Oryctolagus cuniculus: one gene and its partners. The protein of the gene in region 1 binds, or shares a complex with, the protein of each later gene. Links are inferred from orthologs where the notes say so. Each region holds a gene or a part of one and is shown in the gene's direction. Other genes may lie near its edges.

Region 1 (3,500 bases):
GGCCATGTTCATGTTCCAGGTAGGGAGGAGGGCGTGCTGTGCGGGCCGCTGGATTGAACCTGATCTTAACACTCAGTCAGGATAGAACGGCATCTCCCTGCCGCCTTGCTCCACTTGTGGTGCTCTTCCTCCTTGCCCTTACTTTATCCGCCTCATCTCTCACAGTCCCTGGGCTGAATTAATCCTCTTCCCGCACCTCTGATTCCCATAGGATGGCATGTTGGACAGACATGAGTTCCTGACCTGGGTGCTTGAGTGTTTTGAAAAAATTCGCCCCGGAGAGGATGAATTGCTTAAACTGCTGCTGCCCCTGCTGCTTCGAGTAAGGCCTAGGGTTTGGGGGTGGGTGGGAGTGGGGTGTCTAGGCAGCATTTGAGGAAGAATGAAAGCTGGGAGCAGTGTCCCTTGGCAAGAACTAGGGGCTCCGATGGTCATGTCTTCACAGTACTCCGGGGAATTCGTTCAGTCTGCATACCTCTCCCGCCGCCTTGCCTACTTCTGTACCCGGAGACTTGCCCTGCAGCTGGATGGCGTGAGCAGCCACTCATCTCACGTTATAGCCGCGCAGTCCACAAGCACACTGCCTACCACCCCTGCTCCCCAGCCCCCAACGAGCAGCACACCCTCAACTCCCTTTAGTGACCTGCTGCTGTGCCCTCAGCACCGGCCCCTGGTTTTTGGCCTCAGCTGTATCCTACAGGTAGGTACGAGGTAGGGCCACAGAAGTGTTAAGAGCATGCCTGGAAAGAGCGGGTGCCCATCCCAGAGAACGGGAGTGATTCCAGATTGGAAGTGAAAGTAGGCGCTGAGGACTTGCTCGGAGATTGTTGCTTCTCAGTGAGAGGGTGTTGTTTTCCCTCTGGGGACTTTGGCAACCTCTTCATTCCTGGGCTCAATAATAGGTTCAAAGGCTTTTAGGAAAGTAGATGAAGGGAAGGGATCGAGGATAGAGTGATACTTGCCTTGGGGACTCAGAATAACTTTGGATCCAGAACCTAAGGGTTGGGTCTTCTAATGGGATTCCAGAGAGAGAGCCGTGGTAACTGAGTTTGGCTTTGCTGTTTCTGTCTCACAGACCATCCTCCTGTGTTGCCCTAGTGCCCTGGTTTGGCACTACTCGCTGACTGATAGCCGAATTAAGACTGGCTCACCACTTGACCACCTGCCTATTGCCCCCTCCAACCTACCCATGCCGGAGGGCAACAGTGCCTTCACCCAGCAGGCAAGTCCGGCTCCCAGCCTGCGACTCCCACGCTGGGATGGGAGGCTCAATTACTCTTTCAGACATTGTGATTTGGAGCCTGTTCTCTTATTGTTCTCTTAACCTCGGCCGTGGCCCTTGGCCAGCCCTGATACAGCCTTGAAGCCTGCCTTTTTGATATCACAGGTCCGTGCGAAGTTGCGAGAGATCGAGCAGCAGATCAAGGAGCGGGGACAGGCGGTTGAGGTCCGCTGGTCTTTTGATAAATGCCAGGAAGCCACTGCAGGTGCGTGGCCGAGGACGGAAATGACGTTTAAGAGAAAGATGGTATGGTTGGGACTGAGAGTCCGAACGCACTGGGCCTCTAAGTACAGTCCCTTTGGCTGCTTTTCCTCCTCAGGTTTCACAATCGGACGGGTGCTGCATACCTTGGAAGTGCTCGACAGCCATAGTTTTGAGCGCTCTGACTTCAGTAATTCCCTTGACTCCCTTTGCAACCGAATCTTCGGACTGGGGCCTAGCAAAGATGGGCATGAGGTATGCAAGTAGAGGCCCAGAAAGAGCAAATAATAATAACAATAATAATAATAATAATAATGCCATTGCAAGAGCAGTGGCATGTGGGAGGGGAAGGCATGGCGAGGCATTGAATCCGGGGGATGTCTGCAGAGCAAGAGGTCTCAAGATGGGGCCCAGTGTTTAAGAAATCGGAACTTAGCTCTCTATCCCCAACCTTTACCGTCCTCCTCCCCATCTTCCTTCGGGTCTTCAGATCTCCTCAGATGATGATGCCGTGGTATCTTTGCTATGTGAATGGGCTGTCAGCTGTAAGCGTTCTGGCCGGCATCGTGCTATGGTGGTAGCCAAGCTCCTGGAGAAGAGACAGGCGGAGATTGAGGCCGAGGTGAGAGGGCAGAGATGAGAGGCTGACATTGGCCAGTAGGAAGGACTCGACCTGAGGTTGGAGACAGATCGAGGTGGTGGTGGGGCCCCAGGTGATGGATGGTGCGAGAACAGAGTGGAGATGAGAGAGAGAGAGGGAAAATCAAGGGCCTTCGTGGGTGGTGGTAAAAGAAGCTGAGGTCACGCGGCGGGGGATGGAAGGGAGAAGCCTGGGGTGGAGGCGAAACAGGTGGCAGTTCAAGGGTTACACGTCGAGGAGTAAAGACACGGGGGAAAGAAAGTCAGTCCTACAACTTGTCGTCTCATCTCACAGCGGTGCGGAGAATCGGAAGCAGCAGATGAGAAGGGCTCCATCGCCTCTGGCTCCCTTTCGGCCCCGAGTGCTCCCATTTTCCAGGATGTCCTCCTGCAGTTTCTGGATACACAGGCTCCCATGCTGAGTAGGAACCCCCTGCTACCTTTTAGTTAACTCTGCCTAGGTCCAGTTGCCCACCACTGTCATCATAAAGATGAACTGAGGGCCTCTTGAACTCCATGCACGATGACTTTTAGACAGAGTTCTAGTCCCTGCTCATCTCAGAGTTCCCACGAGGAGAGAAATGCAGAAAAGAACACGTGATTGAAGCTTTTTCATTCTACACATAGCAGTGAAGAAGCTAGATTCCTTTCTGAGATGGTGTGTGGGCCAGTACATTGGGCTAACCAACCACACTTTGCCCCTCAAGAGTTTCTGCCATTTTTTTTTTTTTTTGGCCATTCCTGTATTCCCTTAGCATGTCCCTCTCTGGGGGTACGCTGGGAGCACCGTGCTTGAGGTGTGCCTCTCTCTTTCTCTGCCCACTTCCCCTGTGCCTTCCTAACCCATCTTTCTTCCTTCCCTCCCCACAGCGGACCCGCGCAGTGAGAGTGAGCGGGTGGAGTTCTTCAACCTGGTACTACTGTTCTGTGAACTGATCCGCCATGATGTCTTCTCGCACAACATGTACACCTGCACTCTCATCTCCCGAGGGGACCTTGCCTTTGGAGCCCCCGGTCCCCGGCCTCCCTCCCCTTTCGATGATCCTGCCGATGACCCAGAGCGCAAGGAGGCCGAAGGCAGCAGCAGCAGCAAGCTGGAGGTGAGTGGGCTTTTCCTGGCTCTCAGTGGTTTCAAGGCTCCCCAAGGCCTCTGAGAGTCCCTTTGGCCTAGTAAGGGTAGTATTTTCTTAGCACTTTGCGGTTTACAAAGCACTCACATCATTTGTTTTTTCATTCCATCCTTCCACCATCCCTGTAAGGTATTGGGCTTTTTAAAATGTTTATTTGCTTATTTTCATTAAGTTGAAATGCAAAGTGACAGAGAAGGAAGCGGGGTGGGGATGGGAAGAGATATCTTCCATCTATTGGTTCACTCCCA
Region 2 (3,983 bases), on another chromosome or scaffold:
AATGACGATAAGAGGAAAAAAACAATAAAAGTGTAATCCTATTTTCAAGGGAATGTTATAATTACCTTTGTGGCAGTAAAGAAACAAGTTGCCAGGTTATTTTTTTTTTTTTTTATCAAATTTATACTGCTGTGCCTACTCAGTTGAATTGCAGTTATTTGCTGAGATGGCTCTGGATATGTGAATGCTATTTTTTAAATGTGGAAAAAATCTGAGACTACAGTCAGTAGAAATTCATTGCTTAAGCAGAAGATGGCCCAAGTCCTTGGGCCCCTGCACCCGTGGAGGGGGGGGGAGGGCAGCAGGGGGACTTGGAAGAAGCTTCAGGTTCCTGCTTTGGATTGGCTAGGTCCAGCAGTTGTGGACATTTGGGGAGTGAACCAGCAGATGGGAGACCTCTCTCTCTGCTTCTGTAACTCTACCTTTCAAATAAATAAATCTTAAAAATAAAAAAGAAATTCATTGCTTAATATTCTTGCAGAAAACTAGGTAAGATCCTACTTTCCAGCCGCATTTTTGAAGGATGTATATGAGAAAATTCTTTTTAAAAGTAGCCTTTAAGCTCCAGTGGCCATGCACTTGCCAGCATTGCTATGGATTTCTCTTCATGAGGATTTATTGACACAAGAGAGAAGACTACACACTGTGATCTGCAGTGGAGATACAAGCTAAACTGCATGTTTCCACCAAGACACAGTGATAACATGCACTTGCTGCTGAGAACAAGTTTATTTTAATCCAAAGCACTTCAGATTTTCAAAACTGCTGCAACTGCTCAAGAAATATTCCTGAAACTTAAAAAATATTAGAAAATGGTAATTAAGTGTCCTAGGCAGCCTTCAAATGTCGTGTTACAAAGAGCCAGTGTTTTTATGACAGTTTTACTGCATCTAGCATATAAGGGAAACTCTACTGTATTTGATAAAACATTTCAGATACCAGTATTCTTTGAAAATCTAGCCTGTAAAAAAAAAGGGGTTCTGTGGGTTTAGTTTCCAAACTAACGGCTAAAATGAAAATGCAAGTTTTCGTACAACAACCGAACTCTACCTGCTCGCAAGTTCAGAACGAAGTACCCAAGAGCTAAGAGACAGCCGGATTTGGAAGAAATCTCGCGGAAGTACGTCATTCACCTCTCGCGAGACTTCAGTATCCCGTCGCTTCCTTTCTCGCGCAGGATCACGGTTTATCTCGCGAGCTTTAGGAAGTTCCGTTGGGGAAGATGGCGGCGGCCGCAGGCACCCTTCTCTTCTTGCCACCGGGGACTTCAGACTGAGCCTTCCCGGGAAGAGTAGGGACTGTTGGTGCCCTGCGTCCCGGGAGCCCGAACTAACGTGGCTCTCCCATTAGTGGAAGGAACGGGCTTCTCCTCTTGTGGCGGACCCAGGCCCTGCCCGTCGTCAGGATGAAGGCTCAGGGGGAAACCGAGGGTGAGTGACAGTGGGGGAAAGGAGGGGGCGGGACTCAACTGGGGGCAGCCAATCTGGGCGAGGAGGTGGGGGCCGATGCCCCGTGGGGGCCGCTTTCGCGGGGGCACTGAGTCCAGGATGCGGGATGTGTGTGTCTTAGATGCTCATCATGCCTTCCTTGATGGTGATAGAGCGCTGACTTAGGGTGGTGGGGGCTCCCAACTTGGGTGAAGATTTCCTTTTTATATAGAGACAGTACCTGGGGCTTCTGGGCACTTTTAGCCTAAAGTGGTGGAAGATCAGGCGAGTGAATATATTAGCTGTTTGCAACTCATTCCGGAAGAGACCATTGAATAATGGCCTAAAAACAGCCATACGGAACCGTGTATCTAAAAGTACTGGAGAGTATTTTGATGTGAATGATGTGATTTGGTCCTGAGGATACAAAATGCCTGCACTTCCTAAAAGTCACAGTGTTCCCATCGGTGGCCGGACTGATTTAGAACTGTTGAAAACGACTTTTTCTATGGAAATTTTTACTCCGATTCTCTGGAGTTCCACACTGCACTTTCAATCACAGCTTACTTTATTATCATTGTTCATCCTTCCAGTTTGTTCTGAGCTTTGTAGATCAGGGGGCTGCCCTATTCATTTTTTTTTTTTTTAAAGATGTATTTATTTGAAAGGCAGAGTTACAGAGAGAGAAAAATCTTCTACCTGCTGGTTCACTCCCCAAATGACCGCAATAGTTGGAGCTGGGCTAGGCCGAAGCCAGGAGCCTCCCCAGCGTCTCCCATATGCGTGCAGGGGGCCACTCTCTGAGGCCATCCTCCGCAGCTGTCCCAGGTGCACCATCAGGGAGCTGGATTGGAAGCGGAGCAGCTGGGCCTTGAACCTTTGCCCATATGAGTTGTCAGCATCCCAGGTGGTGACTTCACCCGCGATACTACAACACCGGCTCCCTTATTCATCTCTGTATAATCTCTGGCACATAGTAGTTGCTCAGAAAATGTTTGATTTGAGTTTCAGACTAAGGACGTTTTACAGAATGCTTCTCAAGAAAAAAAAGGGGTGTGATTTGAAGGAGAAGAAATGTGTGTCCCTTGGGTGTAAAGTGGAAACACCATCAGGCAGGAGTTTTGTATGGTTTGCTTACTACTGTGTCTGCAGCACATACAATTGTGCTTGAATGAATGGCTTGATAGTGGGAAATAGGAATGTGCCCAGAGCAATCAGCTGGCTGAAGCAGCCTACAAACCAGTTTTCCAGAAGATGAAGGCGTGAAGGAAGGAGTCTGAGTCTTGACTGAGATCATCTTGCTGCCTTAACTCTGACCTTCTATTTATTTTTCAGTGCCAGTGTCAACAGTCTGTTTTTTTTTTTTAATGTCTCCATATTGATTATGTACTTTTCCTTCTTTGCTATTCAGTAGTAATGTCTCTGCTTTTAAGAGCATTTCTTTTTGCACCAATGGTAATTCCCATGTTAACTTGATCACACTGCCTCACAGATGTCACCTCAGGCATATCTTGTTATTATTATTATTATTATTATTATTATTTTTAACAGGCAGAGTGGACAGAGAGAGAGAGGTCTTCCTTTTGCCGTTGGCTCACCCTGCAATGGCCGCCGCAGCTGGCACGCTGCGGCCGGCGCATTGCGCTGATCCGAAGCCAGGAGCCAGGTGCTTTACCTGGTCTCCCATGCGGGTGTAGGGCTCAAGGACTTGGGCCATCCTCCAATGCACTCCCGGGCCACAGCAGAGAGCTGGCCTGGAAGAGGGGCAACCGGGACAGAATCCGGCGCCCCAACCGGGACTAGAACCCGGTGTGCTGGCGCCGCAAGGCGGAGGATTAGCCTATTGAGCCATGGCGCCGGCCCTCCTCAGGCATATCTTGTGTTCCTTTCCAGTGGCCCCAGCACAGGTCTTCGCTCATACATGGCAGTTCAAGAACTAGGGGAGGCTCGAAGGGTTTAAGAGGTTCATTCATATTCTTAGTTCAGGAGCTGATCCTTTCTGCCTTTCTCTTAACCTCTGTTGGAAATTCATCTTTTGGTTATTGATTTCTTCCCTGTCCATATAATTTTAGCTATATGGAAAAATATGAAACATCAGATAGGCAATTAGGGTCTGTTTTCTTGATCATACTTATCAACCAATCTCTTAAAATTATGGCCAAAAATTAAGGAAGTATTTTCACATTGAAAATCAGCTAACCATTGTAAGACCATGTTCAAATGTATGCTCTCTATAAATATTATACAGAAATTTCAGGCATGTTATGAAAATGACTGTCACTAAGTTGTAGGCATGGTCGTGAATCATGATTAGACTCGGTTCCTTTTTGGGTTCCCATTAAAACCTTGAATGGAATGTCCTATGGTGTTCCTTTTATCAGACCCATAAGGTATGTGTCTTCTCACCTTTAAAAATATTTTCTTTATGTGGTTTGAAGAAATTATATCGAAAAGTAGTTTAGCCAATTCTTAGATTCGGCTGTGTGGGGGTTTCTTTTCCAAGAAAAACGAGGTCTTGATAAAGGAGTTTCTAATGATGTTTTCTGATTTATGTCG
Region 3 (3,961 bases), on another chromosome or scaffold:
GATGAAGATCTCATGGTAAGAGAGTAAAAGGGGAAACTTGGGAAATTACATTCTTAGGTGAAAGCCTAGGGCACGGTTGTCGATTGGTTATTCTAGAAGTTCTGAATGTGGGGTAGTTCATGGCAGTAAGAAGCAGGGCTATATTTTGGAGGCCTTGCCTTTTGTCTTAGAGTAGGGAAGCAGCTTCCAAATAGTGCTGTAATAACCTAAGATCTGTGTTACCAAGGCAAAGATCTTTTCTGGGGCTGGCACTGTGGCCTGGCAGGTTAAGCCACTGCCTGCAATGCTAGTGTCCCTTATGGGCTCCATTTCGATTCCCAGCTGCTCAACTTCTTTTTTATTTTTATTTTTTTTTTAAAGATTTTAATTATTTGAGAGGCAGAGAGAGAGAGAGAGAGAGAGGTTTTCCATCTGCAGGTTCACTCCCCAAATGGCTGCAACCACTGGAGCTCTGCCAGTCCAAATCCAGGAGCCAGGAGCGTCTTCCGGGTCTCCCATGGGGGTGCCGGGGCCCAAGAATTTTGAACCATCTTCTACTGCTTTCCTAGGCCATAGCAGAGAGCTGGATTGGAAGTGGAGCAGCTGGGACTTGTACCAGCACCCATATGGGGTGCTGGCATTGCAGGCAGCAGCTTCACCCGTATACCACGGTGCTGGCCCCATGCTCCACTTCTGATCCAGCTCCCTGCTAATGTGCCTGGGAAAGCAGTAGAAGATGGTCCCTATCAAGTGCTTGGGCCCTTGCACCCACGTGGGAGACTCAGAAGAAGCTCCTGGCTCTTGGCTTCAGCCTGGCCCAGCCCTGGCCATTGGTGGCCATTTGGGGAGTGAAACAGCAGTTGGAAGATGTCTCTCTCGATCTGTAAATCACTCTTTCTTTCCTTCCTCCCTCCCTCCCTCCCTCCCTTCCTTTCACCAGCAGATGGAAGATCTCTATCTGTAACCTACTCTTTCTTCCCTCATTCCTTCCTTCCTTTTTAAGGTTTATTTTATTTATTTGAAAGAGTTACAGAGAGAGGTAGAGACAGAGAGAGACAGGCAGGTCTTCCATTCACCAGTTCACTCCCCAAATGGCCACAATGGCCAGAGCTGGGCCAATCTGAAGCCAGGAGCCAGGAGCTTCTTCCGGGTCTCTCACACGAGTGCAGGGGTCCAAGGTCTTGGATCATCCTCCACTGTCTTCCCAAGTGCATCAGTAGAGAGCTGGATCAGAAGTAGAGCAGCCAGGAATCAAACTGGTGCCCATATGGGATGCTGGCACTGCAGGCTAGGGCTTTAACCCACTGTGCCACATTACCAGCCCCTATAACTCTGACTTTCAAATGAATAAATAAATCTTAAAAAAAGAAAAATGTCTTTTCTCTCCAACATCTTTCTCAAGCAAAAAAATCTTTCTTTTTGTGACTTTGTTTGTTCTGGATTTAATTAAAATATGACAGAAAGAGTTATATTTATCACTAGGCTGGTAGAGATAGGGATGTGAGAAAACGGAAATGAAACGTGGAGTAAAGGGGACAGTGTCCTAGGAAGCTAGATATTGTGTCTCAGGTTGTATTTTCTTGAATATTCAGTGTTTGTCTGTGGAAGGGAAATCGGGGTAGGGTGAATCTTCCTGGAGTATGTAGTAGGATCAGTAAAATCTGTGTTACAGAGGCAGACTGAAGGACGGGTGCCTGTCTTCAGCCATGAGGTGGTCCCTGACCATCTAAGAACCAAGCCTGACCCTGAGGTTGAAGAGCAGGAGAAGCAGCTTACGACAGATGCTGCCCGCATTGGTGCTGATGCAGCACAGGTTGGACCAAGTCACTGCCCCACAGCCCCTGATCCCCATCCCATCAGGAGAAGCTAGGCATTACCATTCCTGCCTGATAGGAAAACACAGTTGGTTGTACCTAAGTTGCCTGTGGAAGAGCCCAAGAAAGAAATTTTTCCATAATCATTTCTTGTTTACCCTAATCTGCACCAATATGTGTATGTGTGTGTGTTACAGAAGCAGATCCAGAGCTTGAATAAAATGTGCTCAAACCTTCTGGAGAAAATTAGCAAAGAGGAGCGAGAATCAGAGAGTGGAGGTAAGAAGAATTGGTGGCAACATAGAGGGAGAGTGGTGTCAGATCACTGGGATAGGAATGGTGGTTTGGGTAGTGGTGGAGTGAGGACTTGGGGATGAACTGCTTAGGAAAGAGTTTGTGTCCATTCTGTTGGCCTTTTACATTTAAGGCCAGCCCTGGTGCAATGGGAAGAAGTGGACAAAGGGAGAAGGGAGAATTCTGATACAGGCCTGGGGATCCTCTGGCTCTTCCTCTGGGCTGGGAAAGAGTCAAGATGCTGCTAAAGCAAGAACTCCAACTCTGGTGCTCATCACTGGTCTTGCAGCTCCTAGGTGCAGTCCAGGGCCAGAGGCCTACTTCAGGGTCCACACTTACTTTTTCTTCAGGTCTCCGGCCAAACAAGCAGACATTTAACCCTGCAGACACCAATGCTCTGGTGGCAGCTGTTGCCTTTGGGAAGGGGCTGTCTAATTGGAGACCTTCAGGCAGCAGTGGTCCTGGCCAGCCGGGTCAGCCAGGAGCTGGGGCCATCCTTGCAGGAGCCTCGGGACTACAGCAGGTGCAGATGGCAGGAGCTCCAGGCCAGCAGCAGCCAATGCTCAGTGGGGTGCAGATGGCTCAAGCAGGTCAACCAGGTAAGGTGACGGGGCTTAGAATTCAGCTGACTTTAAGCAGGAGCGTGGAGATAAATGGGGTTGTATGGGTTCCCCGCATCCCCAGGCTTGGAGATTTCCTCCTTGGCACCGTGACTCAGAAAACAGTTTTTAGAAGTAAAACATGTCATCTGGAGTCGATGAGCAGGAGACTGCTGAGATGCGTTCTGACCCCTCCCACTAGTGTCCCCTGTCACCTCTTTCCTACAAACGCCTTTAGGGAGGGAGCTGGGTGAAAAACCACACCTCTGGTCTGTGCCAACCAGAGTCAGGTGCCACAGAGGTTCTGAGATGATAAAGGAGGTGGCAGAAGGGAACCTGAGAGACCACATTTCTGATTTGTTGTGAAAGTCTTCCCTTGCTTCAGAGGTCTTTCTTCGTGTTCCTTTTAGGGAAAATGCCAAGTGGAATAAAAACCAACATCAAGTCAGCTTCAATGCATCCCTACCAGCGGTGAGTGTGGCCAGCAGCCTCCACTCCCAGGTGCTCTTTGCGGAGTTGGGCAGTGAAATTACCTTTTGCTCAAGGCTTACCTAAATGGATACAATAAAAACATGGGCTTTCAGCAATAGACAGATTGCAGCACCACCGCTGACTGCTTGGACTCTGGGCAAGTGACCTAATTTTTCTGAACCTGTGTTATCATTTGTAAATGGTAATCATACCTACCTCATAGGGTTGTTGTGAGGATCAAAATGAGAGGATGAATGTGAAACCACGAAATAATAGGTATTCAATAAATAAGTTTCTACAGTCACTTTTCTGCACTGCCCTCTGTGAGCCTTGATCCAGAAATTACTCTGATCTCATACTGCTTCAAGTCAAGGGTGAACTAATGGGCACAAGATTAAATAAGCCTGTGCTTATTTTGTGCTGCCAGAAACTGTGGCCGCCTTGTGTCCTTGGGGGCGTGCTGTCCCTGCAGCGCCTCCTGCGCAGGTTCTATCTAAGCTGCGGGTGAAGAGGTCCCTGGCCTGTGGCAGGCCACCCACCTGCAGCTCTGGTGAAGCTTAGGCCTGCTCCACTCTCCGTCCTCTACAAAGCCTGGGAAATAGGTAAAAGTCGCCTCCCCTTTACCCCACCCTCTACACCTGAAGGAAGGTGTGGGGATTTCTCGGAACATGGCTCTACCAGGCAGGACCACGTGGGAGAGTTTTCCTTAGCACTTGGCAAAGGAACTTCTTCCTTTGGTCTCATTTTTCTTATTTTGGAGGAAGAGGGGAACTGTACTTCATGCTGTCTTTCGTTAGGGTTTGG
Region 4 (2,515 bases), on another chromosome or scaffold:
TCAGGTTGTGAAACAGTGACTGCCCCTCAGGACTACAGCAGCCTCTTCCCCTTGGACGACACGCAGCCGTCGAAGCTGATGCGACTGCTGAGCTCCAATGAGGATGACGCCAATATCCTTTCGAGCCCCAGTGAGTAGAGGGGCTGCCTTTGCCAGCCCCCCCCCCCCCCCGGCCCCGAGAGCCGCGCATGCACAGACGCAGCCACAGGCTCCGCTGGCTGGTTCTTCCCTGGTCCCTCCCTTTCACCACAGGGTTGGGGGGTGACAAACCACGCAGGTATGGCCACAGCTGCCTCAGTACAGTCTGTGCCATTGACTCATCAGCTCTGTGCTTCCTTCCTTCCCCCAAAACACACCCTGTGGTCTGGAGCAGGCCCAGCTGGGACTGGGGCTGCTCCCCACTCTTCCTGCCCGCGGAGCACCGGCCCAGCCTGGCTTCCACGCCCCCTTCCCCTAAGGCCTCTTCGGTGCCATTTCTCTTTCCTGAGAATAGAAATTTCTCTGAGGCTTTTTGGGGACTTCGGGGTCCAAGTGCACGTGTGAGAGGAGGAGAGATACTGGGCCTGCCACCTACAAGCCCCGTGACCGCGGCTTGTTGCTTAGCGAGGCTGAGCCCCCATGTCCTCACCTGCAGATGGGGTGTGAGAATTGAGAGCTGAGTCCTGGTGCAGCCCGGAGGCTGGGCCCCGGCCCTGGCGGTCCTCCTCATGGGGATGTCCGCATTCAGAGCTCCTCTGGACTCTGGTCTGAGGGTCTTCTCTGGGCTCTGCAGGGATCAGCTGATCCCCGAGTTGGGGGGGGCTGCCACTGGCAGAGCCACCAGTGAGTGCAGTGGCCGTCTCCTCAGCGTCCCTGCGCTCCTCCCCACAGCTGACCGCTCCATGAGCAGCTCCCTCTCGGCCTCCCAGCTCCACACGGTCAACATGAGGGACCCTCTGAACCGAGTCCTGGGTGAGTCCCCCGCTGCTGCTCCTGAACCTCTCCCTAAGGGAGGCAGGGGCCACGTCCGCTGGAAGAGGCCTCGCCTCCCCCACTGCACCTGCTTCCCCCTCGCCAGTGCTCCCGTGTCTCCCCGTTTTCCTCTATTTCCCCTGGACATTCCTGCCTGCGGGTCTCGGCGCCCCCTTCTACTCCCCTGCCTTCCCCTGGACTCTGATCTCTGCCTCCTCTTGCTCTCCCGTCCTGCACAGCCAACCTGTTCCTGCTCATCTCCTCCATCCTGGGGTCGCGCACCGCCGGCCCCCACACGCAGTTCGTGCAGTGGTTCATGGAGGAGTGCGTGGACTGCCTGGAGCAGGGCAGCCGAGGCAGCATCCTGCAGTTCATGCCTTTCACCACCGTGAGTGCCCTTCACCCCGGGCCACCGCCAGGCGGCCCAGGCGTCGCTGCACCCGCACCGGGGTGGGGCCTCCTTCCTCCTGGGACCCTGCACCACCTGAGGAACCTGGTGAGCCTCTGTTGTTCTGTCTGTGGCAGGTCTCGGAGCTGGTGAAGGTGTCAGCCATGTCCAGCCCCAAGGTGGTTCTGGCCATCACGGACCTCAGCCTGCCTCTGGGCCGCCAGGTGGCCGCCAAAGCCATTGCTGCCCTCTGAGGGCTTGGAGTGGCTGCAGGAATGGCTGGGAGGGTCCCAGCCTCAGGCACCTCAGGAGGGAAGAGTGAGGAGAGATGAAACGGCGTTGCTCTGGTGTGAGAGCCCTTGGTTGGTCTCCAGAACTTTTCCCCCCTTCCTGACTTCTAAACAGTTCCTACTTTTTTGTAATTTCTTCTCCCCTCTGCCTGTATCTAAAGAGAAGGAGCAGCCTGGATCCTTAGCCCAGGGCAGGGCCCCTGTGCAGCCTTCCCCCTTGCAGATTGGCCCCCAGGACTTCATGGACGCAAAGGGTGTGTGTGTATGTGTGAGAGAGAGAGGGAGAGAGAGAGTGCATGTGCATGTGTGTACGGGCCGTGTATTTTTGTAATGTGAGGGGAAGCCCACCTCAGCTCATTTGTAAATAAAGATCCTCACGGATCACATTGTGAGTGTCCGCACCATGGGTGTCTGCGTCTGCGCCCCGTGTCCCTTGCACTGGAGCTGGGGGAGGGGGGAGGAGGAAGAGGCTCAGGAAGTAGGGCTTAGGTTCCCGTGTGTGTTCACTGGGTAGGGGAGGGGGGCAGTGAGAGCAGCTTCCTGGGCTCAGACCCAAGTGGGGTGACAGCACTGGCCTGCGGCCCACCTGGTGAGCCGTACCCTGAAGCGGGAGGGGTTCTGGCATGCTGGGGCAGCATGTCCTGTTCTGTGGCTCCCCACCCGGTCTGTCCGGCCTGCAGTTTGAGCTGTCGCTTCCACAGGACAGGGCGAGGGACAGCAACGCTCTTGAACCCTTCCTTGCCTCTCCACACGCTCGGAGCCCCTGTGGGAGAGCCCTCAGCCAGGCAGTTGGGGTCTGGCCTTGCTGTCTAAGGCACTGCGGGGAGGAGAATGGGTGACAGGAGCTGAGGATAGGGAGGGCGCCCAAGACAGTGGGCTGGGTGGT
Region 5 (4,138 bases), on another chromosome or scaffold:
TTTTTTGTACGTGGTTTCGGCTTCAAGCTATGGGCTCTTACCTGACCACAGAAGGAGACACGGATGGCTGAGGAACGCTTCTCCTTCCGTGGCTGAAGACGTGACTGCAAGTGTCCACCATTGATTTTACAGAGGAAATTACGATGTTCTAACTCATTGATGCTTCTAACTTCTCAATCATCTTTTCCCTCATTCTTCTTCTCAAAGTTTTATTTGAAAGGCAGAGTGACACAGAGACAGAGCTCTTCCATCTGCCACTTGCGCAGTGTGGACCCCCGTACTTTACATCACAGCTGCCTCCCAGGGTGCACATTAGCAGGAAGCTGGAATCGGAAGTGGGGACTCGATATAAGCACCCAGATGTAGGATGTAGCGGGCTTAATCCTGAGCCAAACAGGGGAGCCCCTTTTCCTTCTTCCTTTGGTGTAACCCTCTCAAGGAAAATGTTTTGAACGCTTCCTTTGAGGTGTAATCCAGCCAAAAACTAAGTGTTTTATAGGGAAGGGAGCTAACATTTTCTCTGGTTCTTGTAGCCACTCATGCATTTGTGAATTTACATATACCAAGCAAGCACCTACTGTGTGCTAGGAACTTCTTTCGGCGCTTGACAGCGGTAAGCAAACCGAGTGGAGGTTCTGGGGCGGAGGGGGGGTGGGGTGGGGGACGCGCAGGTGCCTGGCTCCCTGGCTCCTCGCGGCAACCGCCCCAGGTCACAGATAACTCTTAGCCCGCGGGTCTGCGCCCGGGGCGGGGCTGGGTGCTTCATTTGTGCTAACTCGGCACACCAAGCCTCTGTGCCAAGGGGCAGTCTCTCCCCCTTTTACGGATGAGGAGACCGAGACACAGAGGCTAAGGGACTCCCGCGGCTTCGAGCGCAGGCTCTCCCGCACACGGCTGCATTGTTTCGTTTATGTCTCTCTCTTCCTATCACAATTTTTAGCCGCTGAATCCTTGTCCCCTGACTCCCAAGTCCGGGGGTTTGCGCTGTGCCCGGGCAGCCTCGTGGAATAAATGAGAATGCCTTGGAATTTTGGGCAACTCTTCCTCTTCCAAAGAATTCAAACTGATTTCCACGTCATTCTGAGAGACTTGTGAAGAGTTCCCCCGCCAGGGCAAAGAGAGTGCGTGGGCCCCGGGTCACCTTACACGGCCAGGGCACCCAGCAGATGGCGCTATTTCAGTAGCCACCCGCCGGCTGCCCAGTCCCCTGGGCTCACCGCCTCAGCCGAAAGCTTCCCGGCCCTCCCTCACTCCCTTCTCTCTCCCCCTCCCCACGGAGCCCGGCCCACGTGACCTCCAGGCGGCCAATGGGCGAGCAGAGAGGGCGAGCTGGTCCCTGTGGCCGCCATTAAAGCGAAGGGAAAACCCGTGAATTCGGATTAAAGGGGGAAAAACACCGCCCGCTGGGCCCACAAAATGGGGGAGACTAAGGCGTCCAGGCGGTGAGGCCGCAGGAGAGCAGACGTTAGGCCGGCGGGGCCCAGGGACGACACGAAGACACAGCCAGAGAATGGTCTGAGCCCGGAGACACCGCCACCACCTCCGCCACTGAGGAGACTCTGGGCTTTAAGGACATCGCCGCTGCCGGGCCGGGGGCCTGGGCTCCTCTCCCGGTTCTCGCCCTTCCCGCCCCTCTCGGGGCTCCTCCGCGCCCGGGAGAACCCTCCGGAGCTTGGGCTCTGCGGTCTCGGACTCGATTTTGATTATTTATTGTGTAATTTATTGTTTTTCTTGTGGAAGGAGCACACATCGCCTCTGTCCCCCCGGAGAGGGACGAGCGTCCGCGGGCTCCGCAGTCCGGCCCGCCGGGCGAGCGCGGCGCGGCCCTCCCGCCTCCGGCCCTCGGCCCCGGGCGGCTGGGTGCCGGCCGGGCGGCGGGGGCTGCTCGCGGCGGCGGCGGCGGCGGCGGCGGCGGCAGGGGGGGTGGGTGGGGAGGGCGGGCGGCCCGGCGGCCTCCTCTTCCACCGCCCCCCCAACCACCACCCCCCCGCCCTCCCCGGTGTCTGTGTTTCTCTCTCTGGTCGGAGGCGGCGGTAATGGCGGATGGTGGGTTGTGGCGCCGGCGGCGGCTGCTGTGAGGGACGATGAGTTCCTCCTCCGTGCAGAACGGGGCCAGCCTGGAAGATTGTCACTGTAACCTCTTCTGCCTGGTGAGTGCCGGGGCCGCGGGCGGCGGGGGGAGGGGGCCGGGGGGCGCCCTTGGGCCATGGGGGAGGGGGCCGGGTCGGATCCCGATGCCCGAGTGCCCGGGCTAGGCCCAGCCGGAGCCGGTGCCCTGCGGAGCTCCGCAGCCGGCGCCGGGGACGGCGTCCGCTCCCCGGCTGTCCCGGGCTCCGTCCTGGGAGTGTGGGCTCTTCTCCCTTGTCCTGTTTCGGACTCCGTGTCTCTCTCTCTTTTTCCACGGAAGTCTTGTCTTCAACTTGGGCACCTTATCTGGTCGGACGCGAACATTTCCCTCTGTGTTTCTTGCTTAACTGTTGCTTTTCTCCCTGGTGACTCTGTGTCCCTTTTTCAGACTTTCCGTGAGTGCTCCTGCTTCCCCTGCCTTTCGGCCTTCCCCGGGTCATTTGGTTTCCCCTGGTATACGGGACCCTAGACCCGGAGCAGGGAAAGGCTCTTTTCTTCGTTTTTCATTTCGTTTGCCTGAGTCAGACTAACTCAGGGTTACTTTTCTTCCTTGGCTGACTTCAGATCTTTGTGTCAAAAACTAGTAGATGCTGTTTCATATGTCTTCTTTCTAAACTTTGAAAACAGTTTGCCATTTTGACAATTTCTAGCCATCTTGCTTTTATTAGAACATTATGTTTTTCTTGAGAGTGGAAGGTCTGATGGAGGAGGTGCTGTGGTTTTTGCACTAAATGCTTCTATATTTGTCTGCTTTGCTTGCTGTTTAAGACGGTTTGGAACAGCCTGCTCCTTGTTTTATTAAAAAGTCTGGGCAATCTGGGTGTCGAGATGACAGTTGTGTCGATTGGCCCAGGTCTGCTAACACCCAGCGGTGAAGACTTAGAAAAGTACCAACTGCTGGACGTAATAATAGCGTCCTGAGTTGGACAGTAGCTGAGCTCCATCAGTGACTCGAAGTTTGGGTGACTTTCCTTTCTCATTTTCCCCTGTAGTATGTGAAATAATAAGAATATATGATAGGGGGTCGGGTCCGTGGCGTAGTGGGTAAAGCCACCGCCTGCTGTGCCGGCATCCCATATGGGCCCTGTTGGAGTCCCGGCTGCTGCACTTCTGATCCAGCTCTCTGCTGTGGCCTGGGAAGGCAGCGGAAGATGGCCCAAGTCCTTGGACCCCTGCACCCACGTGGGAGACCCGGAAGAGGCTCCTGGCTCCTGGCTTGGGATCAGCCTAGCTCTGGCCATTGCGGCCATCTGGGAAGTGAACCAGAGGATGGAAGACCTCTCTCTGCCTCTGCCTCTGCCTCTGCCTTTGCCTTTCTGTAGCTCTGCCTTTCAAACAAATAAATAAATCTTAAAAAAAAAAAGGGTATATGATAGGTAAGTGATTTTAAGTGGGCGGAGCACAAGTAGCTGGCAAGTGTTAACTGCCAGCCAGTCATGTTTCAGCAGTTTCATTTTTTGGCACCTCATGCTTTGCATCTTTAAAGAAGTATTGAATTTCTTTTGTCACATTTTTTTTTTCATGATGTTCAGTTGAGGTCTTTAATGCACTTCCCCCTTCTAAAATATGTTGATCAGCATCTCTTCAGATACAGTAAGGCAAACATCGGGTTTTACATTTCTGTCCTCTCCCAACTCAGTCTGTTTTTGGAACTTTTAGGATCAGATTCTTTGAAGATAGCCTGGCACAAGCCTGACAGTTCTTTGTGATAATTATTTGACTTTTCCAGAGGGGTGTGTGTGAAGAGTTAACATGAATTTTTTTTTTCTTCCAAGAATTGTTCAGGTGTCTTTTTTCACTAGAGTCATGATTACAATAAATATGTAGTGATGGGTCTTAAGAATTAATTTTCAGCTAAAAGCTTGATATCAAGGATCAAATGTCACCAGTTAGAATATAACTTACGACAGAAGAAATATATACTCAGTGTGCAATATTAAAGTACAGTTTATATTTAGCATCATTAAGTTCTTTTATTTCTTCTTGGGACACATTCATTAAGTTACTATGC
Region 6 (4,215 bases), on another chromosome or scaffold:
TGTTAAATAACATTTTATTAGCACTCCCATCCGCCAGTTCGCTGCCCAGATGCTCACAACTGCCCAGGCTGGGCTGCGTTGAAGTCAGAAGCCTGGAACCCCCATGTCCAGGTCTTCCGTGTGAGTGAAAGGGAGTCTGGTGCTTGAGCCATCCCCCGCTGTCTCTAGGGCACGTGTTAACAGGAGGCTGGAATTGGGAGTAGAGACCTGAGCCTCGGCACTCCAGTGTAGCAGCATCCAGATTCCCAGCTACTCTTTAGCATCAGATCTGGGGGCCTGGGTCGTTAGCCTCCCCACTCAGGCTCTTGCAGGACCTGGAAGCAGCTGGCTCTCGTAGGCACCTTCCATTACTTGGCAGGCCTCCCTCAGCGAGGACAGGCAGCTGTCGTGTGTCAGTCAGGTGTCGTTTTCTTGTCCCGTTTCTCGAGTGCCATGGCTTCCAGACATCTCACGAGTGCACTGAAGAGATCGGCAGTTGTGTGGTAACGCGGTTGAGCCATCCGCTAAACACGGGTCTTCAGCAGTGGGCAGGGCACTTCTCCCACGTGGACGTGGCACTTCTGTTAATTGAACTCAGGGTGACATCACTTTTCAGGGTGGGGTAGGGCGTTACACTGTGGCATGCTGGGTGCTTTCTCAGGTCCTTTCATCAGTGATGCTGACTTCTCTGTTCATATCTTATTTTTTTTTTAATTGATGCAGAACTTTCGTGCCGCTTCTATTTCCTCATATTGACCGGTAGCCTGTCAGAATATTCACAGTCTGTCCTGTCTGTACTGTGAACACTGTTTTCTGTTTCATACCGCAGATGCTCATTGCGTGTCCAAGTTCCAGTCGTAGACTCAGTGCTACCTGAGACCATTCTCTTGGTCGTCACTTTCATTTATTTTACGGTGAAGAAACTGAACCTTAGAGAGGTGGAGTACCTGTTCAAGGCCCAGATCTTTTTAAGATTTATTTATTTATTTGAAAGAGTTACACAGAGAGAGGAGAGAGAGAGAGAGAGGTCTTCCATCTGATGGTTCACTCCCCAATTGGCCGCAACAGCTGGAACTGTGCCAATCTGAAGCCAGGAGCCAGGAGCTTCTTCTGGGTCTCCCACGCGGGTTCAGGGGCCCAAGGACTTGAACCGGCACCCATGTGGGATGCTAGCACTGCAGGTGGCAGCTTTACCCGCTACGTCACAACACCAGCCCCCCAGAATTTTTTTTTTTTTTTTTTTAATTTGACAGGCAGAGTGGACAGTGAGAGAGACAGAGAGAAAGTTCTTCCTTCCGTTGGTTCACTCTCCAAATGGCTGCAGTGGGTGGAACTGCGCCAATCTGAATCCAGGAGCCGGGTGCTTCTTCCTGCTCTCCCACGTGGGTGCATGGGCCCAAAGTCTTGGGCCATCCTCTACTGCTCTCCCAGGCCACAGCAGAGAGCTGGACAGGAAGAGGAGCGACCGGGACAGAATCCGGCATCCCGACTGGGACTAGAACCTGGTGTGCCAGCGCCGCAGGCGGAGGATTAGCCTATTGAGCCGTGGCGCTGGCCCCCCAGATCGTTTTAACTGCCTTGTTGCCATGCAAAGGAATGAGCCAGGGCAGCTGTGAATAGAGCTGCTCCCCGTGGTTACAGCAGTGTGTTTGTGGAGTGTAGTCTGCAGACCTTCAGTATCTCAGAGGGGCAGCCTGTTATCAGGCCCTGCTGTTTGATGTCTTCACACCAGCGAGTTTCATTCAGGAGCTTGTTAGACGGAGCTCAGGCTGTGCTCCAAACATAGCGAGTCAGAATCTCACCTGGAGGCCTCGCTCATGTGTATGTCACGTGTGCAGTTCTGGCTCTGCATACTCCCTACCCAGTTGAATTATTTCAGTTTTATATCAACCTGAAATAATGCCACTTAACAAAATAGCTGGAAGAATAAAGAGAATTCCTGTGTATTCTTCACCCAGATGTTTTACATAGCCACAGTACGGTGGTCGGAATCAGAACATCATCATTCAGGTCCGACCAGTTGTCCCTCGGGGGCCCGTGTGCAGTGCAGTGTCCACGCTGGGCTCACGTGCTGCATTTTGCTGTCATGTCGTCTTAGTCTCCTGTAACCTGAGTTCCTCGCTCTTTATGTTGCTGATTTTTCACGGCCGTGACACAGAAGTGACACTGTATCCTGGGCATAGCCGGGGTCGCATCACGTGGCTGTGCCACCACTGCTGGTGCCACTTTTGATTGGTTGAGGTGGTGCCTTCCAGGTTTCTCCACGCAGTTACTATTTCTTCTTGTGTGTTCAGTATCTTATGGGGAAATACCTTGAGACTATGTAAATATCTTGTTAAATAAACTCTCGCCCACTAATTTTAGCATCCGTTTAAGAAACTTGTTGGATGGTTTTCTGATTCCACCATTCTACCCTTATTTACTAACTGGAACTACTGTAAGGAAGAACATTCCCCTTTACTCCATTCATTCATTTAACGTTTATCAGTATAGACTCCCAGGTTTTTTAATTCTGTGGATTAAAAGTGTGTTTTATTGCTCTATAATTATCCCAGGTTGGCCACTGAGAGCATGCTCAGGTAACAGTACTTTAGCCATGGCCTCATCGGTGTTGACCGTCTCCTTTCTTCCTGGCTCTCCATGACCTCCAGGCACGGCTTGCACTTGCCTGTCCCAGCCGTGGGCTCCGCCATTTCTCCAGTGTCATTGCTTCTGGGATCTGTGTCTGTGTGCTGTGCCTTTGGCACACACAGGCACCTGTGTTTCTGTATCTGTATATATTAAGAGCCACGAGTGCAAGTTTGAAGTAAAAACACAGGGTTTATTCTAACCTGCTCCCTTTCCTTATCTGTAACTCCTCTTCTGATAGCTACAAATTCGGCTCTCGTTAACCATGGTATACATGCTGAGAGTATATGTAAACTAACCTCAGAATTGCTAGGTCCCAGGAAAGTTTGAGGACAGTATCTGTGTGTAGTTCTTTTTGCCCGACTCACTTTTAAATAAAAAGTTATCTTTCGATCACTGTTGATGGAAAACCAATAAACAGCTGCCAGTTAAACACATAATTACCAAACATGTGCTAGAACAGCATGATTTGTCCCCAAATTCTGACTCAGCTTACTGTCACTGTGTTGTGTGGTCTTGGGCAAGTATTTAATCTTTCTAAACTTAAATTTTCTCGGTTTGGACAATTTTATGTAATATTGACTCTCGATGACTAGTGGAGAATCCTACGCTACCAAAAATACAGCTTATTTTTAAGTTACGTTACTAGAACTCATAGGCTACCCAGTCGTGTTGAGTAACTGAACTGTAAGTTGGTCTTGACTTAAACCATGTGGCTCATTAACGTATGAACTTAAACCAGGTACCCTCAGTGTTTACACATGCTGGAACTGCTTCAGTACGAACACTTCCGAAAGGAGCTCGTGAACGCGCAGTGTGCGAAGTTCATTGACGAGCAGCAGATTCTGCACTGGCAGCACTATTCCCGGAAGCGGATGCGCCTTCAGCAAGCCTTGGCAGAGCAGCAACAGCAAAATAATACGTCAGGAAAATGAGAAGCTGGAAGCGGACCGGGCTCTGAAGACATGTATATAATGTATGTTTGTACAGTGAGAACAGACTTTCCTGCCTCCCTTCATTGTGGACGCAACTAGACCCTTCAGTGTGCTTTCTAACCCAACTAACTTTTTATTGTAACAGAGTATTTCTGTTAAACCAGATTGTTCTACACTGGTTTCCTGTGTATGTTTTTAAGAGCATTTGATACAATCAGCTGAATACAGACGGGAGAATTAGGTGCTTTAGAACAGCTTAAGGAGGTAGTGGGGCATGGAGCGGGGTAGGGCCAAATGTCCTGACTGCTCAGGACACAGAGTGGTACCTTGGCGGGTCCATCTGCTGGAACCTGTCTGTCTCAAGGAGAGGACTGGGATCGGGGACCTCCTTAAATAACGGAGCGGGGAATGCACGAAGATTCTTGGGTCCTGCAGCAGAGCAGATACTGTACCAGTACCTGCTTTGTAAGACAGCTTTAAGAATCAGTGGTCTATCAGTGACCCAGAATGGGCAGGGAGAAGTTTGGTTAACCAGAGTGGACTCTTGACCTTAAACAACAGCAGCGACAAGGAACAGGAACCACTCATACTTGTGCTGCTTTGGGAAAGTGAACAGTTACTTGGCAGGTACCGCAAGTTGGGCACTGTGTGAAGTGCTTCCCTGTGTTCTCAT
Region 7 (4,033 bases), on another chromosome or scaffold:
TTTTTTTTTTTTTTTAATAAGCGGTCTCAAAACTACTGAGGAAGCACCGCAGGCGGCCTGGCACGTATTTTATTTTATTTTTCTCCAATTCCTTTTCAGGTTTTATTCAATTTTGCATCCCACATCCGGGTGCAGCACAGTACTTAGCACACAGTGTGCTCAATGAAGAGATGGCTGACAGAACGAGCAAGTCCCAATGGCCGGAAAAGTCGCTGTAAAGGCCCAGGCACTCCAGTCGTGTGACCCCGGGCGCGTCGGCTGCCCACGCGCAGGCCGGTTTCTTCAAGCAGGAAACCGGACTACGACCACTACCCGCCTCGTCGCCCCCCGCCCCAGGCTCCTCGGGAGGCTTTGCACAATGAGCAGTACTGCAGAACGCCACACAGGTGCCGAGTTTGGGCACGGCTGTCTACTGGCAGGAACAGCGAGGCGTCAGGAAGCCCGGACTGGGGCTGTCGTGCAGGGGCTACCAGGCACCGCCTCCGTTTTCCCATCGTAAACACTTCGTTTAGATGCGATGACAGTCTGCGCCCTACACCCTTCAGCAGTCTGCAAGCCCGCTAGAGGCTGGGAACCTCAAGTGTCCTTAGGAAGGTGAAACTCGGGACTCCACATGCACCCGCAGGGGCAGGGACAGTCAAGGTCGCGGGGTTCTGAGCCCTAGAGCGCTCACCCAGTCAAAGTCACACGGGTTGCCGTCTTCGCGTTGGGTGGGGAGTCCATGGCAGAGCGGTGGCAATTTCCTCACGAGCAGGAAGGCAGCAGAGAGCAGGGCAGACAGAAGGTAGTAAGGCCTGGCCAGCCATCGTGAAAGTCGCGGCACCGAATACACCAGAGCAATCAAAGGCGCTAAGACCGCCATGTTTCCAGGTCCTGCGGCGCCCGCCGCTCACCGGCGTCCGTAAATCTGGGCCCGCCTCCCACCCCATTGAGCGTTCTATTGGCCCAACTACCAGAAGAACCGCCTCTAGACCCGGAAGTAGATTTCTCATTGGATGCCGCCGTAATTCCGAGTTGAAAAGTGGAGTTGACCGGTTTACTGGCCAATCTAGTTGTCGCTTTTTCTACCAAGGTCATTTTATTGGATATGTGTTTATGGCCCGCGGAAGTGACCCAGAAGAATTCAATCAGGTTAGATAGCACTTCCTGAACGTTTTCAGAAAGCGACGGAAGTTGTTGCCAGAAAAAGGTAGGTGGAGCCACAGATATCCAATGATAAGCTTTCTTTACAGGAAGAGGGCGGTACCCCGTGAAAGGATTGTCCAATGATAGTCATCAACGCCAGACACTGAGGCAGCGCCGGTGCGGAGGGGACGATGGAGAATTTCACGGCGCTGTTCGGGGCTCAAGCTGACCCACCACCTCCCCCAGCCGCACTAGGCTTCGGACCAGGAAAGCCTCCACCCCCGCCCCCGCCGCCGCCGGGCGGGGGACCCGGCACAGCGCCGCCTCCCACGGCGGCCACCGCTCCTCCCGGCACAGACAAGTCAGTGGCTGGTTGTGGCCCCTTCTATCTAATGCGGGAACTGCCTGGTGAGTACTAGGCCTGGCCGAAGCTAACCAGTCCAATGCTGAAGAGGTGAGGGCGTGGCTGTTGGCCGGCTGCTGGAGGTGCAGAGGCTGCACGGACCCGGGCCGTGGAGCTGGAACTTGCAAGAGCTGCGAAGATTCGCAGCCACAGGGATGATTGGGTTCGTGGGATGGATTGGGAGGAGGTGGGTGTGTGTCTCTGGGTCTGGGCTGTGCCCCTGACACTGGCTTCTCCAGGGTCATGGAGATCGGAACTCAAATGATATGCCTAGGGAACCGAGGTTTTTTAGTTTCAGTCCGCCTCAGGCTGGCTGTTGGTTTGGGGGTAAGTTTCTTCATCTATTCAAAGACGGGATTAGAAGGACACGAAATTATTTCATATCAAATTTATGTGGTTTGTTCTGCATGCTGGAGCTACAGCTGTGAACCAGACTGGCAAGATCTTTGTCCTTTTTGCCATTGGAGACAGCGTAAGCAAGATAGCATCAGATAGTGATTAATGCTGGATGAAAACGTGATCAAGAGTTGAGGTGGAGGCAGGCGTTGTGGTGCGGTAGGTTAAGCCACGGCTTGGAACGCCCGCATCCCATATTGGATTGAGTCCTAACCCTGTGTACACCCTGGATGGCAGCGGACGATGGCACGTCCCTGGATTCCTACCGCTGTCAGGGGAGACCTGTGTGGAGCTCCAGACTCAGTCGCGGCTGTTGCAGGCATCTGCGGAGTGGGCCAGCAGATGCAAGATTTCATCCTGTGCCTTTCAAATAAAATAATTTTTAAAATGTGGAAAAACTGAATTAAAAGATGTTCACTTTTAGAAAATGGACATAACTGTTGCTAGATGATCAGAGTTAACAGAGAGGAGAGGCAGAGAGAGAGAGAGAGGTCTTCCATCCTCTGGGTCACTCCCCAGATGGCCACAACAGCTGGGGCTGGGCTGATCCGAAGCCAGGAGCCAGGAGCTTCTTCCGGGTCTCCCACATGGGTACAAGAGCCCGAGGCCGTGGGCCATCTTCTGCTGCTTTCCCAGGCCACAGCAGAGAACTGGATCAGAAGAGGAGCAGCTGAGACTCAAACTGGTGCCCATTTGGGATGCCGGCACTGCCGGTTGCGGCTTTACCTGCTATGCCACAGTGCCGGACCCTAGTGCTTTTTCTTAAACTATAGTTTTCCTTTTATTTGAAATGCAGAGAGACAACCACCAGCAGTTTCTTTAAGCTTTTTTCACTTACTCTGATTGTGCTTGTTTCTGTCAGCCCGTTGGCAGATACTTGGTATCTGTTCTTGGTAAATGCTCTATGTGCAGGAACAATGATGTGTTGAAAGGGGGAAAGAGATGTCAGGTCTGGGCCTTACTTCCTAATTTTTACTTTATTTGAAAGCCAGGGAGAGACGCAGAGAGACATTCCATCTGCTGGTTCACTCCCCAAATGCCCCCAACAGCCAGGGCTGGGCCAGGCCAAAGCCAGGAGTTGGGAACTTGATCCAGGTCTCCTTTGTGGCTGGCAGGAATCGAGTCCTTGCCGTCATCTGCTGCCTGGCAGCCTGCATCCTAGCTGGAGGTTGGAGCAGAAGCAAAGGAGCCGGCACGGAACCCAGCCACTCTAGTATGGGATACGGGCATCCCAAGCAGTGTCGTGACGACTGCTGCAAATGCCCACCCTTGGTCCTTGGTTTATAAGAAGACTATTTTAGTTAGTTAGGGAAGCACAGTATGTGGTTTGTGGATAAACAAGTGACTGTTTCTCATCGATACCAGTCTCATTACTTTGCAGTCATGCCTTAAATACTGCACAGCTAACAGTATCTTAGTGAACAGCATTAACTCCTTGATGGTTTTCAAAATGTGGTGTATCCATGATGACAGCAAGAAATTAGATGTCACTTGAGCTGGACTGTGAAGAATTCACATTGGTTGGGGAAAAAAAAAAAAAAACAACAGATTTTTCCTAAAAGGAAACAATATAAGAGGGAATGCCTATTTTTTTTTCTCATAAGTGTGGAGACTCATTTGAATGGATCAGAAATTTTACCAAAAAGAAAGAAATTTTACCTTTGGGGAAGTAGTGGCTGATGAAGCCCAGAGCTAAGTTGGATGCAGTCAGATGTGAATAACCCTGGATGCCTGAGGAACGGGTGCTTTCTCCCGAGAGTAACAGGAAACCTGAAGGTTTTTGAACTCAGAAGTCCTGCTTTCTAAAACATCTCAAGAATGGCGGTGCCATGATTGAAATGAAGAAGCCATAAGTGACATGGGCAAGAATTTGAATTAAAAAAAATTGAATCTGCATGAAATTTACTGCAAAGAAGGTTCATTCAGGAGAGGAGTCAGAGCTGGGGAGAAAGATTTATAAATTAACTACAAAGCAATAGTCAAAAACAGGAAGTTAGAGTTTAGAAAAAGCACAGTACCTTCTCCCTGACCTTCAGCAAAACCACCTGGGAGGAAGATAACTGGCAGAGAGGAGGGAACATCAGAAAGCAGTAGCAAGCAGCAGTGCCA

The links.
Region 2: MED12 (region 1) and MED1 share a complex: the UniProt entries of both Homo sapiens proteins name them as parts of the mediator complex. The link is inferred for Oryctolagus cuniculus from reciprocal best matches to the Homo sapiens genes MED12 and MED1.
Region 3: MED12 (region 1) and MED8 share a complex: the UniProt entries of both Homo sapiens proteins name them as parts of the mediator complex. The link is inferred for Oryctolagus cuniculus from reciprocal best matches to the Homo sapiens genes MED12 and MED8.
Region 4: MED12 (region 1) and MED24 share a complex: the UniProt entries of both Homo sapiens proteins name them as parts of the mediator complex. The link is inferred for Oryctolagus cuniculus from reciprocal best matches to the Homo sapiens genes MED12 and MED24.
Region 5: the proteins of MED12 (region 1) and MED13 are in contact, whole or in part, in a cryo-EM structure (PDB 8TQC), measured with the Homo sapiens proteins. The link is inferred for Oryctolagus cuniculus from reciprocal best matches to the Homo sapiens genes MED12 and MED13. Residues at the interface, in NP_005111.2 of Homo sapiens: Ala3, Phe4, Arg12, Pro13, Arg16, Leu86, Thr123, Thr127, Thr150, Pro152, Val153, Met154, Arg155, Phe242, Pro278, Leu281, Arg282, Arg356, Pro357, Phe360, Gly361, Cys364, Gln367, Thr368, Cys372, Pro407, Glu408, Phe413, Val417, Lys1526; in NP_005112.2 of Homo sapiens: Ser157, Glu158, Thr336, Val337, Pro339, Gln340, Ser341, Gln343, Lys344, Trp345, Lys347, Phe348, Asp1186, Ile1189, Leu1190, Gln1193, Asp1194, Pro1332, Ile1333, Thr1335, Leu1337, Tyr1340, Asp1341, Tyr1342, Asp1343, Tyr1344, Leu1345, Val1346, Leu1347, Ser1348.
Region 6: MED12 (region 1) and MED31 share a complex: the UniProt entries of both Homo sapiens proteins name them as parts of the mediator complex. The link is inferred for Oryctolagus cuniculus from reciprocal best matches to the Homo sapiens genes MED12 and MED31.
Region 7: MED12 (region 1) and MED19 share a complex: the UniProt entries of both Homo sapiens proteins name them as parts of the mediator complex. The link is inferred for Oryctolagus cuniculus from reciprocal best matches to the Homo sapiens genes MED12 and MED19.

The regions. Positions count from the first base shown.
Region 1 is NC_091453.1:50,928,015-50,931,514, forward strand, and holds part of MED12 (mediator of RNA polymerase II transcription subunit 12), read left to right. Parts: coding exon 1-19; intron 20-211; coding exon 212-322; intron 323-445; coding exon 446-700; intron 701-1,075; coding exon 1,076-1,222; intron 1,223-1,387; coding exon 1,388-1,487; intron 1,488-1,601; coding exon 1,602-1,738; intron 1,739-1,973; coding exon 1,974-2,105; intron 2,106-2,417; coding exon 2,418-2,544; intron 2,545-2,992; coding exon 2,993-3,222; intron 3,223-3,500. UniProt on the Homo sapiens protein: Component of the Mediator complex, a coactivator involved in the regulated transcription of nearly all RNA polymerase II-dependent genes.
Region 2 is NC_091448.1:22,906,050-22,910,032, forward strand, and holds the start of MED1 (mediator of RNA polymerase II transcription subunit 1), read left to right. Parts: upstream 1-1,183; 5' UTR 1,184-1,405; coding exon 1,406-1,430; intron 1,431-3,983. UniProt on the Homo sapiens protein: Component of the Mediator complex, a coactivator involved in the regulated transcription of nearly all RNA polymerase II-dependent genes.
Region 3 is NC_091438.1:129,638,949-129,642,909, forward strand, and holds the end of MED8 (mediator of RNA polymerase II transcription subunit 8), read left to right. Parts: coding exon 1-15; intron 16-1,651; coding exon 1,652-1,792; intron 1,793-1,990; coding exon 1,991-2,072; intron 2,073-2,437; coding exon 2,438-2,686; intron 2,687-3,096; coding exon 3,097-3,161; 3' UTR 3,162-3,461; downstream 3,462-3,961. UniProt on the Homo sapiens protein: Component of the Mediator complex, a coactivator involved in the regulated transcription of nearly all RNA polymerase II-dependent genes.
Region 4 is NC_091448.1:22,404,805-22,407,319, forward strand, and holds the end of MED24 (mediator of RNA polymerase II transcription subunit 24), read left to right. Parts: intron 1-30; coding exon 31-130; intron 131-870; coding exon 871-951; intron 952-1,190; coding exon 1,191-1,339; intron 1,340-1,476; coding exon 1,477-1,593; 3' UTR 1,594-2,015; downstream 2,016-2,515. UniProt on the Homo sapiens protein: Component of the Mediator complex, a coactivator involved in the regulated transcription of nearly all RNA polymerase II-dependent genes.
Region 5 is NC_091448.1:35,408,779-35,412,916, forward strand, and holds the start of MED13 (mediator of RNA polymerase II transcription subunit 13), read left to right. Parts: upstream 1-1,338; 5' UTR 1,339-2,084; coding exon 2,085-2,150; intron 2,151-4,138. UniProt on the Homo sapiens protein: Component of the Mediator complex, a coactivator involved in the regulated transcription of nearly all RNA polymerase II-dependent genes.
Region 6 is NC_091448.1:49,930,968-49,935,182, forward strand, and holds the end of MED31 (mediator of RNA polymerase II transcription subunit 31), read left to right. Parts: intron 1-3,349; coding exon 3,350-3,542; 3' UTR 3,543-3,715; downstream 3,716-4,215. UniProt on the Homo sapiens protein: Component of the Mediator complex, a coactivator involved in the regulated transcription of nearly all RNA polymerase II-dependent genes.
Region 7 is NC_091432.1:14,441,313-14,445,345, forward strand, and holds the start of MED19 (mediator of RNA polymerase II transcription subunit 19), read left to right. Parts: upstream 1-1,233; 5' UTR 1,234-1,316; coding exon 1,317-1,533; intron 1,534-4,033. Other genes in the region: TMX2 (thioredoxin-related transmembrane protein 2), read right to left, coding at 674-862. UniProt on the Homo sapiens protein: Component of the Mediator complex, a coactivator involved in the regulated transcription of nearly all RNA polymerase II-dependent genes.